Saccharomyces cerevisiae S288C: one gene and its partners. The gene in region 1 interacts genetically with each later gene. Each region holds a gene or a part of one and is shown on either strand. Other genes may lie near its edges.

Region 1 (6,605 bases):
GCGTGACGCTAAGTACAAGAAACAGCGAGGGGCCGTTAAGTGCAGGCTTTACCGAGGGCGCCGGCTGGCGCTTCCCGTGGAAGGGTGTTTGACTCATCATCGCATCGCATTACCTCATGATGAGTAAATAGTTGCGATTTCACTTATCACCTCTCGCGGAAAAAAAAGGCGATGACATGATATATAAGGCTCTCTCGTAAGACACTTAACTATCCAACGTTCATTAGATTATTCGGTCAATTTCTTTTTTCATGCCCCTCCTTTTTCTTTTCTTTTCTTGACTCGTCGTTTCTTTTTCTTTTTTTTTTTTTTTTTTTTCTTCAGAACTATAACACATAGATACACTCGAACATCTAATTGTTTAAATACTGCAAAGAATACAAGGTAATCGACTCTTCTACATACCCTTTTTGCAGATTTGAAATAAAAAAAACATTATATGTTTAGCTTATCGAACTCTCAATACACCTGCCAAGACTACATATCTGACCACATCTGGAAAACTAGCTCCCACTAATTTCATTGCTTAATAATCAGAAATTCTATCACAAACCACTCCTAAAAATATTTCAAATGTCCTCCGCTGCAACAAAAGCTACTTTCTGTATCCAAAATGGTCCTTCCTTTGAAGGTATATCTTTTGGTGCAAACAAATCTGTTGCTGGTGAAACAGTTTTCACTACTTCTCTGGTTGGTTACCCAGAGTCCATGACTGATCCTTCCTACCGTGGTCAGATATTAGTCTTCACGCAACCCTTGATTGGTAACTACGGTGTCCCATCCGGCGAAGCCCGCGATGAATACAATTTACTGAAGTATTTTGAATCTCCGCATATACATGTGGTCGGCATCGTTGTCGCTGAATATGCTTATCAATATTCGCATTGGACCGCTGTTGAATCTCTGGCACAATGGTGTCAGAGAGAAGGTGTTGCTGCTATTACTGGCGTAGACACCCGTGAACTAGTGCAATACTTGAGGGAACAAGGTTCTTCTTTGGGCCGTATTACGTTGGCTGATCATGACCCTGTCCCCTACGTGAATCCCATGAAAACTAACTTGGTTGCTCAAGTCACCACAAAAAAGCCTTTCCACGTCTCTGCCTTACCTGGGAAGGCTAAGGCAAATGTGGCTCTTATTGACTGTGGTGTTAAAGAAAACATTATCAGATGCCTAGTCAAAAGAGGTGCCAATGTAACTGTTTTCCCCTATGATTACAGAATTCAAGATGTTGCTTCTGAATTCGACGGTATTTTCTTATCCAATGGACCAGGCAACCCAGAACTATGCCAAGCTACAATTTCCAACGTCAGGGAATTACTAAATAACCCTGTTTATGACTGTATCCCTATTTTTGGGATTTGTCTAGGCCATCAACTCTTGGCTCTGGCCTCCGGTGCCTCTACTCACAAATTGAAATATGGTAATAGGGCTCACAACATCCCTGCCATGGATTTGACTACCGGCCAGTGCCACATTACATCTCAAAATCATGGCTATGCAGTTGATCCTGAGACCCTACCAAAGGACCAATGGAAACCTTATTTTGTTAATTTAAACGACAAATCAAACGAAGGCATGATACACCTTCAAAGACCCATATTTTCTACCCAATTTCACCCAGAGGCAAAAGGTGGTCCCTTAGACACAGCTATTCTTTTTGACAAATTCTTCGATAATATAGAAAAATACCAATTACAATCTCAGGCAAAAAGTTCAATCTCACTAAAAGTAACATACAGTACCGATAAATCGAGATTGCAGAGTATAAATGTTACTAAGTTGGCCAAGGAAAGAGTGTTGTTCTAAAAACAAAATTTATACATTACGTAACACATACGTACATCTAAATACGATTCAATTCAGTTCATGGTATTTTGCGCTACTCGTCGTTGCTTAGTATCTACTCGCAGTTGTCATAATTAACGGGCGCTTCTTGTAATTAAATGAACAAAAAAACGTAACGTACGTACAATGGCTCTAATTTCATCCTGCCATCCTAAAAAAAAAATCAAATAAAGCAGACTCAAAAATTTTCAGCTTCAGTTAAATTTTGATAAGTATATTTGCATAACTCAAGGAGTTTGTGCAAACGGTTTTCTTTCTTTGTGGTTTGTTTTATTTACTTTCCAATAATACCCGTCTTGTTGGTTTAAGTCGTAACAAAAGGAAAACTTACAATCAGATCATGACGACCCAGCAAGAGGAGCAACGAAGTGATACCAAGAATAGCAAAAGCGAGTCACCTTCAGAAGTTTTAGTCGATACTCTCGACTCAAAGTCAAATGGCAGTAGTGATGATGATAATATCGGACAAAGTGAAGAGCTATCAGATAAAGAAATATATACAGTAGAAGATAGACCACCAGAATATTGGGCTCAAAGAAAGAAAAAATTCGTACTTGATGTAGATCCAAAATACGCCAAGCAAAAGGACAAGTCCGATACGTACAAAAGATTCAAATATTTATTAGGCGTCACAGACCTTTTCCGTCATTTTATTGGAATTAAGGCAAAACATGATAAAAATATTCAAAAACTCTTAAAACAGTTAGATTCTGATGCAAACAAACTTTCCAAATCACACAGCACCGTCAGTTCGTCATCACGTCACCATAGAAAAACAGAAAAGGAGGAAGATGCTGAATTAATGGCTGATGAGGAAGAAGAGATTGTAGATACATATCAGGAAGACATATTCGTCTCAGAATCTCCCTCCTTCGTCAAGTCAGGAAAATTAAGAGACTATCAAGTTCAAGGCTTAAACTGGTTAATATCGTTGCACGAAAACAAACTATCTGGTATCTTGGCCGATGAAATGGGGCTGGGTAAAACCTTACAAACAATTTCATTCCTAGGTTATTTGAGATACGTCAAACAAATCGAGGGACCCTTTCTAATAATAGTACCGAAGTCAACACTAGATAATTGGAGACGAGAGTTTCTTAAATGGACTCCAAACGTCAATGTCCTTGTGTTACATGGTGATAAAGACACAAGAGCTGATATAGTACGGAATATAATATTAGAAGCTAGATTTGATGTATTGATTACATCTTATGAAATGGTCATTAGAGAAAAGAATGCTTTGAAAAGATTAGCTTGGCAATATATTGTTATTGATGAGGCTCACAGGATCAAAAATGAACAAAGCGCGTTATCTCAAATAATTAGATTATTTTACTCTAAGAATAGATTATTGATTACGGGCACGCCTCTACAAAACAATCTACACGAATTATGGGCCCTGCTAAATTTCTTATTACCTGATATATTTGGAGATTCTGAACTTTTTGATGAATGGTTCGAACAAAACAATTCGGAACAAGATCAAGAAATTGTAATCCAACAGCTACACTCAGTACTAAACCCCTTTTTACTGAGAAGAGTCAAAGCGGATGTCGAAAAATCTTTGCTACCTAAAATCGAAACGAATGTTTACGTGGGGATGACAGACATGCAAATACAATGGTATAAATCATTATTAGAGAAGGATATAGACGCTGTTAACGGTGCTGTTGGAAAAAGAGAAGGCAAAACGAGGTTACTGAATATTGTTATGCAATTAAGGAAATGCTGTAATCATCCATATCTTTTTGAAGGCGCAGAACCTGGACCTCCATACACTACCGATGAACATTTGATTTTCAATTCCGGGAAAATGATTATATTAGATAAGTTACTGAAAAGACTGAAGGAAAAGGGATCTAGAGTATTGATTTTCAGTCAAATGTCGAGACTATTGGATATCTTAGAAGATTATTGCTATTTTAGAGATTTTGAATATTGCAGAATCGACGGTTCTACTAGCCATGAAGAACGTATAGAAGCTATCGATGAGTATAATAAACCTAATTCTGAAAAGTTCGTTTTTTTGCTAACAACACGTGCCGGTGGTTTAGGTATTAACCTTGTCACAGCCGACACTGTTATTCTTTTTGATTCTGATTGGAACCCTCAAGCTGATCTACAAGCAATGGATAGAGCGCATAGAATTGGTCAAAAGAAACAAGTTCATGTTTATAGATTTGTCACAGAAAATGCTATTGAAGAGAAAGTCATTGAGCGTGCCGCACAAAAGCTGAGACTAGACCAGTTGGTTATCCAACAGGGCACGGGCAAGAAAACTGCATCTCTTGGTAACTCAAAGGATGATCTGTTGGATATGATTCAATTTGGCGCTAAAAATATGTTTGAAAAGAAAGCAAGTAAAGTCACTGTTGATGCTGATATCGATGATATTTTGAAAAAGGGGGAACAGAAGACACAAGAACTAAATGCCAAATACCAAAGTTTAGGACTTGACGACTTACAAAAGTTCAATGGGATCGAGAACCAATCTGCTTACGAATGGAATGGTAAAAGCTTTCAAAAAAAATCCAACGACAAAGTAGTTGAATGGATTAATCCTTCCCGAAGAGAAAGAAGAAGAGAGCAAACCACTTATTCAGTTGACGATTATTATAAGGAAATTATTGGTGGTGGCTCTAAATCAGCAAGCAAGCAAACTCCGCAGCCAAAAGCACCCCGCGCTCCAAAGGTTATACACGGTCAAGATTTCCAGTTCTTCCCCAAGGAGTTGGATGCCTTACAAGAAAAGGAACAGCTTTACTTCAAGAAAAAGGTCAACTATAAGGTTACTTCTTATGATATTACGGGAGATATACGTAATGAAGGAAGCGATGCTGAAGAAGAAGAAGGAGAATACAAAAATGCCGCTAATACAGAAGGTCATAAAGGCCATGAGGAACTTAAAAGAAGGATTGAGGAGGAGCAAGAGAAGATTAATTCAGCACCGGATTTTACCCAAGAAGATGAATTACGAAAGCAAGAATTGATATCAAAAGCCTTTACTAACTGGAATAAGAGGGACTTTATGGCGTTTATCAACGCCTGCGCCAAATACGGTAGAGATGATATGGAAAACATTAAGAAATCTATTGATTCCAAAACACCAGAAGAGGTTGAAGTGTATGCAAAAATATTCTGGGAAAGACTAAAGGAAATCAATGGGTGGGAGAAGTATTTACATAATGTAGAACTTGGTGAAAAAAAAAATGAAAAACTGAAATTCCAGGAAACTCTATTGAGGCAGAAAATCGAACAGTGTAAACATCCATTACATGAGCTGATAATACAGTATCCACCTAATAATGCTAGAAGAACTTACAATACCTTAGAAGATAAATTTTTATTATTAGCTGTTAACAAGTACGGACTTCGTGCTGACAAGCTCTATGAAAAATTAAAGCAAGAAATCATGATGAGTGATTTGTTCACTTTTGATTGGTTTATAAAGACAAGAACGGTGCATGAGCTATCAAAAAGAGTCCATACGCTATTAACTTTAATTGTAAGAGAGTATGAGCAACCTGACGCAAATAAGAAGAAAAGGAGTAGAACTTCAGCGACTAGAGAGGATACTCCTTTATCCCAAAATGAAAGCACTAGAGCTTCAACGGTTCCAAATCTCCCGACGACGATGGTGACAAATCAAAAAGATACAAACGATCATGTTGATAAAAGAACCAAAATTGATCAAGAAGCATGAATCATGTATTGTGCATTAAAATAAGTGACGTGAGAGATATAATTTTTTATATTACTTTTTCATTGAATACAATTAAACTAACGAGCCTTATAGACCGCATTATATAATGAACCGTAGCCACTTCTTGACCACTATCTTCAAGTTTGATAATGATAAATGACAGGTAATCATATTTCAGTCACCTTTTTCCCTTCAATGAAATGTGATATCGCTGCAAAAATGGTGAATGAAGAGGACAAATTAAGTCTAACTGGGTCGAGCCGCTTTAACTAATTCATATCCATTCTAAGATAATTGAACTGCTGAAAACTAAAGCCTGCTTTGATACTTGTCATATTGTATTTATCTACAAACTTACATTAACAACAGTGTACTGAATTATAAGAGAGCAATTGCCAAAAAAGTCATTTAGTTAAAACTTCTCCATTTCAAGTTTCCAAGGATAGGTGAAGTGCTATCCCAGAGACTCCAAAAACATGCGAATATATTATTAAGTTTCAGTTGATTAATATTTCTAAACCATATAAAAAAGCACGTATTTGGCACGATCTGTAGTTAATTGCAACCTAGTTACGCGATAGCACGCGTTTTCTTTTTTATGAATAAAAGCATTAGAAGTTTCCATGTTACTACTCACCTGCTCTCACCGACTCATTTTGTTAAGCTTGTCTTCAATTGCTTGTATACTGCGTGAAAACTCATCATCATTTTCCTTCATTTGCCTCTGAACATCCTTTAGTGATTTTTCTATTTCATTTGCCAGGTCAAACACGGTTACAATATTTTCTGTATCTCCCTTTATTGAGTTAGTCTCAGATGTATTGGCCAAGGGAGCCTGTGGTTCCTCCGAAGCTTCCAGTTTTTCAGTACTCATTACAGTGCTCCTTCAGAAGATGCAAGTCACATTTACAATATCATTTAGCGCTAAGGTAAAATGTACCTGTAAGCCAAGCCGCTTCATTGGTTTGCTAGTTTTTTTTTTTTTTTTTTTTTTTTCAAATTATTTATCGAGGCCAACTGAAAAGCAAAACAACATGGTTGATCGATACATAGA
Region 2 (5,310 bases), on another chromosome or scaffold:
AATAATGGGTTTGTATGGAATGTCCAAGCTAGCTTCCCTTGTTTCAGGGGTTAGTTTAATTTCATCCTTTCTACTTAGAGAAGTGGATGCCTTGGCGCTAGTCCCCAAAATGGAAACACTTGAACTAACCATCCTCGCTGTTATTTTTTTGTTATATCGATCAACTATATTATTATTAATTATTTATTGTATTTTTATTACGAGAAAGAAATAGTTTTAGATAGATAAACCGTCATTGAGGCGCAGAGCGTACCAACACATTTCTTGTGTCCTTATATAACAATTCCTTCTGATTGGAAAACATGTAGGAACAAACATAAAGAGAATAATTTCACTGGTATAATTCATTTCTGTGTAATAACCCTAACCCAACGGCTACGCCATATCTTTCATAATCAGTCAACTGAGTGTACCCCACATCCGAAACAAAGTATATAACCTTAAAAGTGTCGAAAATAGGTGTCAAATATCGATGAGCACACAAAACCTAGTAGCGGAATTACGACGTCCGTCATTTTCTTAGCGTCGACAAATTTTGATTATACAAAAACAATTCTGAATACTTTGTTAAAAAATACATCCGCTCGATTCAGGGGAGTACAAAAAATAAAAGAAGGCAACTGACAACCCTTGTCAGTCGATAATACAGCGATTAGACTTCTTTCCTTCCTTTTCTACTATAGCTAGCTATAAAGAGCTTGTTTAACAACATATTCAACGCGTTCCGGAGCCGATGAGATGAGGATTGATGACAGTATATGATTTGATAGCGTCACAATAACAGCATCATCACTATAAAGAAACAAAACGAAAAAGGAAACTTAGAGCATTATAGAAAATTAGCTAGTTAATGAAAAATTAAAAATTGAGATTGGTCCTATCATGGCAAGCAAGCTTCCTCTCGTAGTCGCCATCCAGACAGCCGAAATTGATGATACAACGACTGTTTATTTGCGTATGGGATTTCGTGTATACTTCAATGAAAGAAAAAAAAAAAAATATAATAAAACTAATGGTTTTGCAATTTGAAGGGTAAGTTTTTACTGCATATGGCCAAAAAAACTTTTGACTTTTTCATATGTCTATCAAATTATCCATAAGACCATTGCTCATCGAAAGAGATTTCATTTCTTCTCGAAGGCCATTTTTTAATACTCCTTGCAGAATTTTTCCTAATCGTGCATAATCAGTTTTCGTACTTCTCCTCAATGATAACATATTCTTGGAAAGCTGCTTAATGGCGTTTACCAACAATAAATTTATAGACATATACCAAAATCTTCTTTTAGTCCACATATGAACATATTGAAGATATTCTATTGAACAACTTAAAATACTATAAACGCATTCATCTTCTTTTTCTTACTGAGAAATTTTATATTCCTAAAAATTTTGAAATGATCTGAGTTTATTTAGATCTCTTGAACATCCTACAAGAACATTTGAAGGGCAATAATCCTCATCAATACTACTCAATTGTTTTCCATGGGAAAGGATTTCGATCTCTTCCTTTAATATATGTCTTCTAAACCACTTACGTATCCTATCTGTGCTAGAAAGTTTTGTTTTATTCTTCGTATGATCTTCCAATATAAAGTTAGTGTTATTTTCCCACTTCTTGAGGTTACAAACTGGTTCTTTCACTTTCAGCTCCGGATTATTCTGCTTTCTCGTTTCATCCGTTGTTGCGGTAGGTGAATGATTTATTTCAATGACAATGTGTGATACGAGTTCCATTACTTTGATGTAGCCATCATTTTGGAAAGGTGAACTTCCATAAAAAACTGACGAGGAAGACGCAATGGTCCTTTTTGGTCGGGATTTGGGCATCTTTCTATAAGTAGCTAAATTATGGTATTTGATAGCTATATTTGCGACTTATTAGTATTTTGACATTCCATAAAATGCAAAAATTATTTACTATCCTTTTAAATTCAGTTATTATACACGTACATATTTTTTTAAACTGATGCGACAGTTTATCGAGTTTTGTGTCAGAGGACGTGAAAAAATTGCTCTAGTTGAGACCAACATGATTCAGGATGAAAAATTATCCAACGTTCGATTTTCTGGTCTACATGTCATTTGAATAAATTATTTAGCAGACGTTGGATAGAAAGGATTGAAAGATTACATAATGTTATTTCAAAAAAGAGAGAATTGAAATATGCTGGCTGACCTTTACCGAAAACAAGAAGATGAACAGAAGGAAAACCTGAGAGTCGATTGATGTCTCAAAAGACCACTACTGTTATGACACAAAACAATTTAACGACTCTTGATGTAAAGGAACTAAAGCAACACTTTTCTTAACCAAGCCAGTATATATTTTGCAGTATCAGAAATAATCAGACTTTTTTTTTTCTTAGCCCATATTAAGACAATTCTGTAGCATATCGTGTACAACGAAAAACAGGTTACCCTCGAATGCGGTAACGGTACAAGTAAGTAAAGAACGCCCAATGAATGCTGATATGGTATTGGAAACAGTTCATGATTAACTAAGTAAAATCGAAAGCTAAATAAAGGCGACACTCTAATTAAAGATGGGGAAGAGAGTATACGATCCAATTCATGATACTTTCCAACTACGAGAAGACAATTCTGACGAAACAAAAGCAGATTCTCCAATGCAATCTGTAAAATCGGGATCACAAGAAGAAGCATCCCCAAGCTCCATTCAATCAGAGACCGAGACTGTGACTACAAAAAGCATTCCAGTTATACACGAGATTGAAATCGACGATAAAAATGATGATGACTCCACGCAAAGTGAAGAAGAAAATACCAACATCTTGCTCAACTTCGAACCTTCTACAGTGCCTGAAGCAACAGGAGCAAGTACGGCAACGGGGCCAGTGACAACTAACACTGTTAGAAGGAAACCCAAAGAAAGCAATGCCAGTAAATACAATCGTCATTTGAAGAAACCTGACGGCGAGCCATTCAATAGAAAGGACATTCAGTTCAGTTTCATGCAAGAACTGTTGATGGACAAGAGGCAAATCTTCACTAATGTTCTAAAACCCCTATACAAGAACTCTATTGTACCCATTAATATCGATGGCGATAAATTATCAATCAACGTGACCGACAAAGAGTACGATGCAAGGACATTTGTATTTAACGATAAATTGACGTTCGCACAATTGTATGTGTTGACAATAGCCACTTCTATCAAATGTTCCAAAATTCTCAGAGATAAACTATTATTAGACCAACAAGTAGCATTTTCTACTTGTGTTTTAGCGTTATTGGTCAACATTGGTAGGTTGAACACCACTATAAATTTTTATTTAGAAATGACATCGCAATTGAGAACTTTTCACTCCGTGCCAGTTTTACAATTACATGCCAATGATCCGAAACTTTTGCAGGATACACCTAGACTGAAATCTATTCTGAAAAATCTGCCGTGGGGCAATGAGCAACTCTCATTGATGGAGACTTACAAAAAGGTCGACCAAAATGATGGTGAAGTGGACACCGTTAACAAATTTAACATTATTAATATGTTGTTTAGCATATGTGATAATTCCGGCCTAATTGACAAGAGGTTTCTTTCCAAGTATGTGGAAGTCGAATCGAAAGCTCAGGAGCAAGATATGGTAGATGAACAGAATGAAGTAAAAGAAACGGAAGCGGAAAATGAAAAACAAGAATCAAAAGCAGCTTATGCAACAACATTATTTGATATACTGGACTATTCGAAATACGAGCCAAAGGATAGATCAAACATATTGATTTGGCTGCTATATATTCATTTGGAGACAAACTTAAGCCAGGAGGAGGTCGAAGAATCAGTAAGATTTTTCAATGGATTGGAAGATGGTGCACCTGCTGGAAAGTTCATTTTAAGGTGTACGGAACGCAGTTACGACACGGATCCTGAAGATGAATTAGAGTTCGGAGCCAACCAACGCATCAAGAGAAGAGAATTCATGAGTAAGATGGAGGAGGGTAGGAAGCGCGAGCGTACCAATGTTACAGAGGTGAAAAAGCCCAGTATCGGTGGTGACAAGAGTGAAGAGGACGGTGAAGGGGAAGATGACAAGAGCGAGGAGACTGTAGAGGAGACTAGATCACTTTTGACGCCTACGCCCATACTGGAATCTTCTTCACCCATGACATTGAACAGGAAAAAAGTCACACCACAACTGCCCAAAGTAACGCCAGCAGCACCAACAGAAACAGAAGAAGAAATCACCTCCGCTGCTATCATTGACAAAAACGATTTAAATCTAACACCATTGAAAAAATACAATAGTTCGGCTACGGTAAACAAGGTCGACAAGCTAATATCGCTAGATCTGAACAAGCATGTGTCAGAAAATGGTAAGACACAAGAGGAGTTTCTCGCCGATTTGAAAAAATCCCAGGTGCCAAACAGGTTGAAAAGACGCGATATTGGGTTAATCAAGATATTCAATGAATTTGAAGACATCCCCGTAGCGTCAGTGCTTGGGATTCGCGGTAAAAAGAGAAAGAAATTCAAAGATAATTTGCTTGGATTTGAGACGGATTTCATGAAAAATCTCGGCGCTTCAAAGAAAGTACTTTTAAATAAAATCGAACGCGCGGAAATTGATGACGAAGAAGCAACCGCCATGTTTAAGCTGGAGTGAAATAGAACAATACGCACACACACACACACACACATACATACATTTAAGAACATTTTGTAAAGAAAGAGAATTTTTTTTTTTAAAAAAACAGCTAATTTTTAAACTGAACTAGAGTATATGCGTACTTAAGTTTATATATTCCACCTCGATTTAAGCGTTTTTTTTTTAGAATTTTTTTATTACTCTGCTATTCATTGAATATAATATTAAGGAACATCACACATCATAAAGAAAAAACCATGTAACTACAAAGAGTTCCGAAAGATTTACTTCTTGGTTGGGTCTTCTTCACCGTGGACACGACCGGAAACATATTCGACGGCATCGTTCAACTTGGACTTGGCGGCTCCCATGTAATCTCTAGCTTGGTCTGCCAAAGATTCACCTTGACCTTCAGCGTTATCCTTGCCTTTTTCGGCAGAGTCGTGGACACCTTGGAAGACACCCTTGTTGTCTTCTGGTTGAACCTTACCAGCGACCTTGTCGGCCTTGTCAGTGATGTATTCCTTACCTTGTTCAGCGTATGACTTTTGAGAGTCTGGCTTCAAAGCTTCAGAAGCTTTTTCACCGAATCCTTTTCTACCTGCGTCAGACATTGTTGTATTTAGTTTTTTTTGTTTTGAGTTGTTTGTTTGAGATTATCGAATAATCAGATGGTTTTTTTTTCTATATATTAGAGAGAGAT
Region 3 (5,584 bases), on another chromosome or scaffold:
CGAGCAAGATCTAGCCCTTGTTTTCCAGGGCGTATTCAATGGAAATTTGAGATGCATCGAACGGAGGCCATATGATGCAGAAAAGGTTGAATTAGTCAACCCCGGAAACATTTTTGTTTTCAACGAAGAGAAATCCGGCATCAAAAGATGGACAGATGGTTTTTCTTGGTCTCCTTCAAGAATTTCAGGCAAATTTCTCGTATATAGAGAGTATAATAGGCTGGGTTCCACGCACGATCTACCGCTGCATAATGTACCTGAGTATAATATCTTCGAGAGGGCTCATAGGAAGTATTTTTATACTGGACTACTGAAAAAAACATTTTCTCTAAAATTCAATATGGATCCCACCGACAGCACTAAGCTGGAAACATTTCATCTTATTGCGTACTATACGGAAAAGGATATTCATCAAGGAAGTTTGAGGAGACCTTCAGAAAATCCTTTCTTCCATAAATTTCGACCTTCACAGAAACTATTAGATGCTTTACAAAAAGTTGCTGTAGGAAATGGCAGATCTAACCCGTCTAAAAATAATGAGAGAGGCAGAACCAAAGCTCATAATTATAAAACGCGCAGGTCTTTATCATCTTCTCCGAGCTATTGTGATCTCTTGAGCAATTATAACAACCATCCTGGAAATATTCCAGTTAGGACCGCAGTTCAGTTACCTTTAACCACCTTCAATAACGCTCCTCGAGAAATGCACCAACAGCAGCACCGACAACAGCAACAATATCTCTTACCCATAGATGAACAGAATAAATTACCTCTCCCGTATATGCAGCACCAGCCACAACCAATTGGTGTTTACAATCCTAACTATCAGCCTGGATTGAGACGTACGGTCTCACAACCTATGATTTTCTGCAATACATACAATACTCTCCCGCAACAACCTACTGCAGCACCTTATGAACGGCGTGGCGTGTCGCCTTCAGTGATATACTCCTCCAATACATTGAGCCCAATACCATACCAAAATATCGATCCATACTCTTCGAGGTCGGGTCCTGAATGCAATCACTCTAAGGCGCCTATCGCCCCAACAATGATGCCCCCAGTACACCATATACTTGTGCATGATTACCGACAACCAAAACCAGTCACAGATTCTATTAATCCTCCAAATGTAAACATAACCACCTCCACAACCAACAAGAACCTAGATGGCATTTATATTTTGCCAGCTCCTCGTATGAATCCCCCGGCTCAAACACAATACCAAATGATTCATGCGCCAGACAGCATGCAACATCCACCAACATTTAGTAAAAACAACACATCAAGCAATCCTAAATCCCACCAATACTCAAAGTAGAAGATCAGCATCCTTTCAATTGCTGAAAGGTTCACCTAAAGTACCGCTCATATTCCAAAAGGATTCTTCACTACATAGAAAGGGCAGCCAATTGTGTGTTTTTCAGAAAGGGTTTTAAAAAAACAGGAGGGTGCTTGTTCTTGTTGTTCCCTACCATCGATGGATTTCGAAAAACTATTTATAGGACCATCTGATTTTCACCTCCATCATTGTATCATATACTAACAAGCATATCCAAATTTGTAATTCTATCATGAAATTTCCAGAGAAAGAAACGCAAGGGAACTGAGAAATCAAACCTAAAAACGGTTCTTGGCATTGTTATGAAAAATGAATAAACCAGGGGGGCAAAACAATCGAGAACCCCAATCAAAACCATGTGAGATACCCACTTCGAAAGTTACTGATATTATAACTCTTGTGTCCTCTCTTCTAATACCTTACTTTCACCTTTCTCACGTAGTTAAAGTTGCAACAACACATTTTGTCCTCATCCAATTTCTTCTATAGAATATCCGTTTGCCTCCAGGAGTGAAGAAATGATAGCAGTAACACTGTGAAAGCGAGACTAAGAGAAACGACTTAAAGCTCGAAGACTTCTTGAGGATACGTTTATGTTTCTGTGGCTTCTTCTTCGCGGCGCGGTTCTCGCGTATAGGAATGTTCTAAGACAAGAAGGCATGAAGTTATGTTAACAGATTCTATATCTACTCGCTACGCATATATAAACGGATTCATCATTGAAACAATGGTACTTGTGGTAATGTGTACGACGATTTCAACCCGAATAAAAGCAAAAGTGCAAAAAAAAAACAAGAAGCGCTTAGCACTGTTGAATCATTTAGAACACTACTAATGCTGGTAATACACTCAAGAATGAAGAGTGGCTTACTCCATTGTTGATGCAAAAGTTGTAAATTTCACGAATTATTTAATGCGTTCCTTGCAACCTTCTATTTTGATGAACATCAGGAATTGAAACAAAAAAAAGGCTTCAATCTCAACGGAAAACGGGAAGAAAACTACACTCGATTATACTATATATGCCAAGAAGATTCTCCGACAGATTGTCTACTTAATTTCACATAATATATCTTGTTTTACTAGCTTATTATATAGCGTCGCATTTAATTCATGGCGCCATCACCCGCAGGGAATATAACGACAAGGCCGATACCACGGGAAAAATAGGGCGAGCGGAAATACTAAAAGAAAAATAAGCTTCCGAAATAAAACACCGACAATGAAGTTCTTGGCAAGGTTCGGTTATTTCCTCTACGTAACAAGAGGTATAATATCCGAGCGTACAGGGCTAAAAAATTAATACAAAGGTGTAAAAGAAGGACATGGATGGTCCCAATTTTGCACATCAAGGCGGGAGATCACAACGTACTACTGAATTGTATTCGTGCGCACGATGCAGAAAATTAAAGAAGAAGTGTGGTAAACAAATACCGACATGTGCAAACTGCGATAAAAATGGGGCACACTGTTCATATCCAGGTAGAGCCCCAAGACGTACCAAGAAGGAGTTAGCGGATGCTATGCTACGAGGGGAATATGTTCCAGTGAAAAGGAACAAGAAGGTAGGAAAAAGCCCATTGAGCACTAAGAGCATGCCAAACTCTTCTAGTCCGCTATCCGCAAATGGCGCTATAACTCCCGGGTTTTCGCCTTACGAAAACGATGATGCACATAAGATGAAACAGCTAAAACCGTCAGATCCAATAAATCTTGTCATGGGGGCAAGTCCAAATTCTAGCGAAGGTGTCTCATCGCTAATTTCGGTGCTAACATCGCTGAATGATAATTCTAATCCTTCTTCGCACTTATCCTCTAATGAAAATTCCATGATTCCTTCCCGATCATTGCCAGCTTCCGTGCAGCAAAGTTCGACAACTTCATCATTCGGAGGATATAACACGCCTTCACCACTAATTAGCAGTCATGTGCCTGCGAACGCCCAAGCCGTACCGCTACAAAACAACAATCGCAATACTAGCAACGGGGATAACGGCAGTAATGTTAACCACGATAATAACAATGGCAGTACCAACACACCGCAATTGAGTCTTACCCCATATGCAAACAATTCAGCCCCCAATGGGAAATTCGATTCTGTGCCGGTTGATGCATCCTCGATCGAATTTGAAACTATGTCCTGTTGCTTTAAAGGTGGTAGAACAACATCGTGGGTCAGAGAGGATGGCTCGTTCAAGTCAATTGATAGATCCTTACTGGACAGGTTCATTGCCGCATACTTCAAACACAATCACCGTCTATTTCCCATGATTGATAAAATAGCATTCCTAAATGACGCCGCGACAATTACTGATTTCGAAAGGTTATATGACAACAAAAACTACCCTGACAGCTTTGTTTTCAAAGTATACATGATCATGGCTATTGGTTGTACAACTTTACAGCGTGCTGGTATGGTTTCTCAGGACGAAGAGTGTCTGAGTGAACATTTGGCTTTTTTGGCCATGAAAAAATTTCGTAGTGTTATAATTTTACAAGATATCGAAACTGTACGATGCCTATTGTTGTTGGGTATTTATTCGTTTTTTGAGCCAAAGGGCTCCTCGTCATGGACAATTAGTGGTATCATCATGCGATTGACCATAGGATTAGGTTTAAATAGAGAGTTAACTGCCAAAAAACTCAAGAGCATGTCTGCTTTAGAAGCAGAGGCAAGATATAGAGTGTTTTGGAGTGCTTACTGCTTTGAAAGGCTAGTATGCACCTCGTTGGGCCGTATATCCGGGATCGACGACGAAGACATCACTGTGCCACTACCGAGGGCGTTGTATGTGGATGAAAGAGACGATTTAGAGATGACCAAGTTGATGATATCATTAAGGAAAATGGGCGGTCGCATTTATAAACAAGTCCACTCTGTAAGTGCAGGGCGACAAAAGTTAACCATCGAACAAAAGCAGGAAATCATAAGTGGATTACGCAAGGAGCTAGACGAAATTTATTCTCGAGAATCAGAAAGAAGGAAACTGAAAAAATCTCAAATGGATCAGGTGGAGAGGGAGAACAATTCTACTACAAATGTAATATCCTTCCATAGTTCTGAGATTTGGCTAGCAATGAGATACTCCCAGTTGCAAATCTTACTATACAGACCATCTGCATTGATGCCAAAACCGCCCATTGACTCACTATCCACTCTAGGAGAGTTTTGCTTGCAAGCCTGGAAACATACTTATACACTGTACAAGAAGCGGTTATTACCCTTGAACTGGATAACCCTTTTCAGAACATTAACCATTTGTAACACTATCTTATACTGTCTTTGCCAGTGGAGCATCGACCTCATTGAAAGTAAAATCGAAATTCAACAGTGTGTGGAAATACTAAGACATTTCGGTGAAAGATGGATTTTTGCTATGAGATGCGCGGATGTTTTCCAAAACATTAGCAACACAATTCTCGATATTAGTTTAAGCCATGGTAAAGTTCCTAATATGGACCAATTAACAAGAGAGTTATTTGGCGCCAGCGATTCATATCAAGACATATTAGACGAAAACAATGTTGACGTCTCTTGGGTTGATAAACTTGTATGACATATGTTCACCGAGTTTTGTCATGTCGTCATACTATACGGCAGCGGCTTGTTGCTGCCGTTTAATGAAACAGTTTTTTTCACGACAAGATTCTTCTATTGATTATTCACATATGTATTTTAATGAAAAATGAGTACTTTATAACACAACCCTAATGACAAATGAAAAAGTTGATTGCCATGAACTCTTAAAGCGATTTATGAGAACAATTAATTGATTATATATATATATCTTTGCAATTATGTCGTTTGTTGCAAGATGCTTCTGAAAGTAAGTAACTCTATAAGATAGATAATGCTACAAGACGCCAAACGCAAGTGAGTAAGAAATAAGAGCTGGCAGGTCTTCGCCGGAACACTATCATCAAAATCACTACAATTTAGCGGCTTAGCACAATACGCGTTTTCAACTTCCTACGCTAGCGATGACAAAATGTCTCCAAGAGGCGGAACTTGCGACGGATGCATGGAAATATCTTACGTAATGAACTTCCGTAATGAACTTCCGTAATTCAAGATCTCTTAGCATCTCTTGTTCAATCTTCAGACTCTACTAAGTGTTCTTACCAACCATTGGATGCTCATTACAAATGAATGAATATATTGCACGGAACGGAAGCGGCATGCTTTTTCCGTCTCGTGTGCTTAGTAAAGCAAAACGGAGTAGAATCGGTAAGAACTTCCTT

What was found. A genetic interaction does not mean that the proteins touch.
Region 2: mutations in ISW2 (region 1) and IES1 together harm fitness more than expected from each alone (negative genetic interaction), as found in Saccharomyces cerevisiae (3 studies listed by BioGRID).
Region 3: mutations in ISW2 (region 1) and STB5 together harm fitness more than expected from each alone (negative genetic interaction), as found in Saccharomyces cerevisiae (3 studies listed by BioGRID).

What each region holds. Positions count from the first base shown.
Region 1 is NC_001147.6:882,326-888,930, forward strand, and holds ISW2 (DNA translocase), read left to right. Parts: upstream 1-2,188; coding exon 2,189-5,551; downstream 5,552-6,605. Other genes in the region: YOR302W (uncharacterized protein), read left to right, coding at 440-517; carbamoyl-phosphate synthase (glutamine-hydrolyzing) CPA1, read left to right, coding at 574-1,809; BIL1 (Bil1p), read right to left, coding at 6,195-6,425. UniProt on the Saccharomyces cerevisiae protein: Catalytic component of the ISW2 complex, which acts in remodeling the chromatin by catalyzing an ATP-dependent alteration in the structure of nucleosomal DNA.
Region 2 is NC_001138.5:107,167-112,476, reverse strand, and holds IES1 (Ies1p), read left to right. Parts: upstream 1-2,546; coding exon 2,547-4,625; downstream 4,626-5,310. Other genes in the region: hexose transporter HXT10, read right to left, coding at 1-132; YFL012W (uncharacterized protein), read right to left, coding at 1,384-1,830; lipid-binding protein HSP12, read right to left, coding at 4,892-5,221. UniProt on the Saccharomyces cerevisiae protein: Probably involved in transcription regulation via its interaction with the INO80 complex, a chromatin-remodeling complex.
Region 3 is NC_001140.6:456,632-462,215, forward strand, and holds STB5 (Stb5p), read left to right. Parts: upstream 1-2,667; coding exon 2,668-4,899; downstream 4,900-5,584. Other genes in the region: ROF1 (Rof1p), read left to right, coding at 1-1,321. UniProt on the Saccharomyces cerevisiae protein: Binds to SIN3.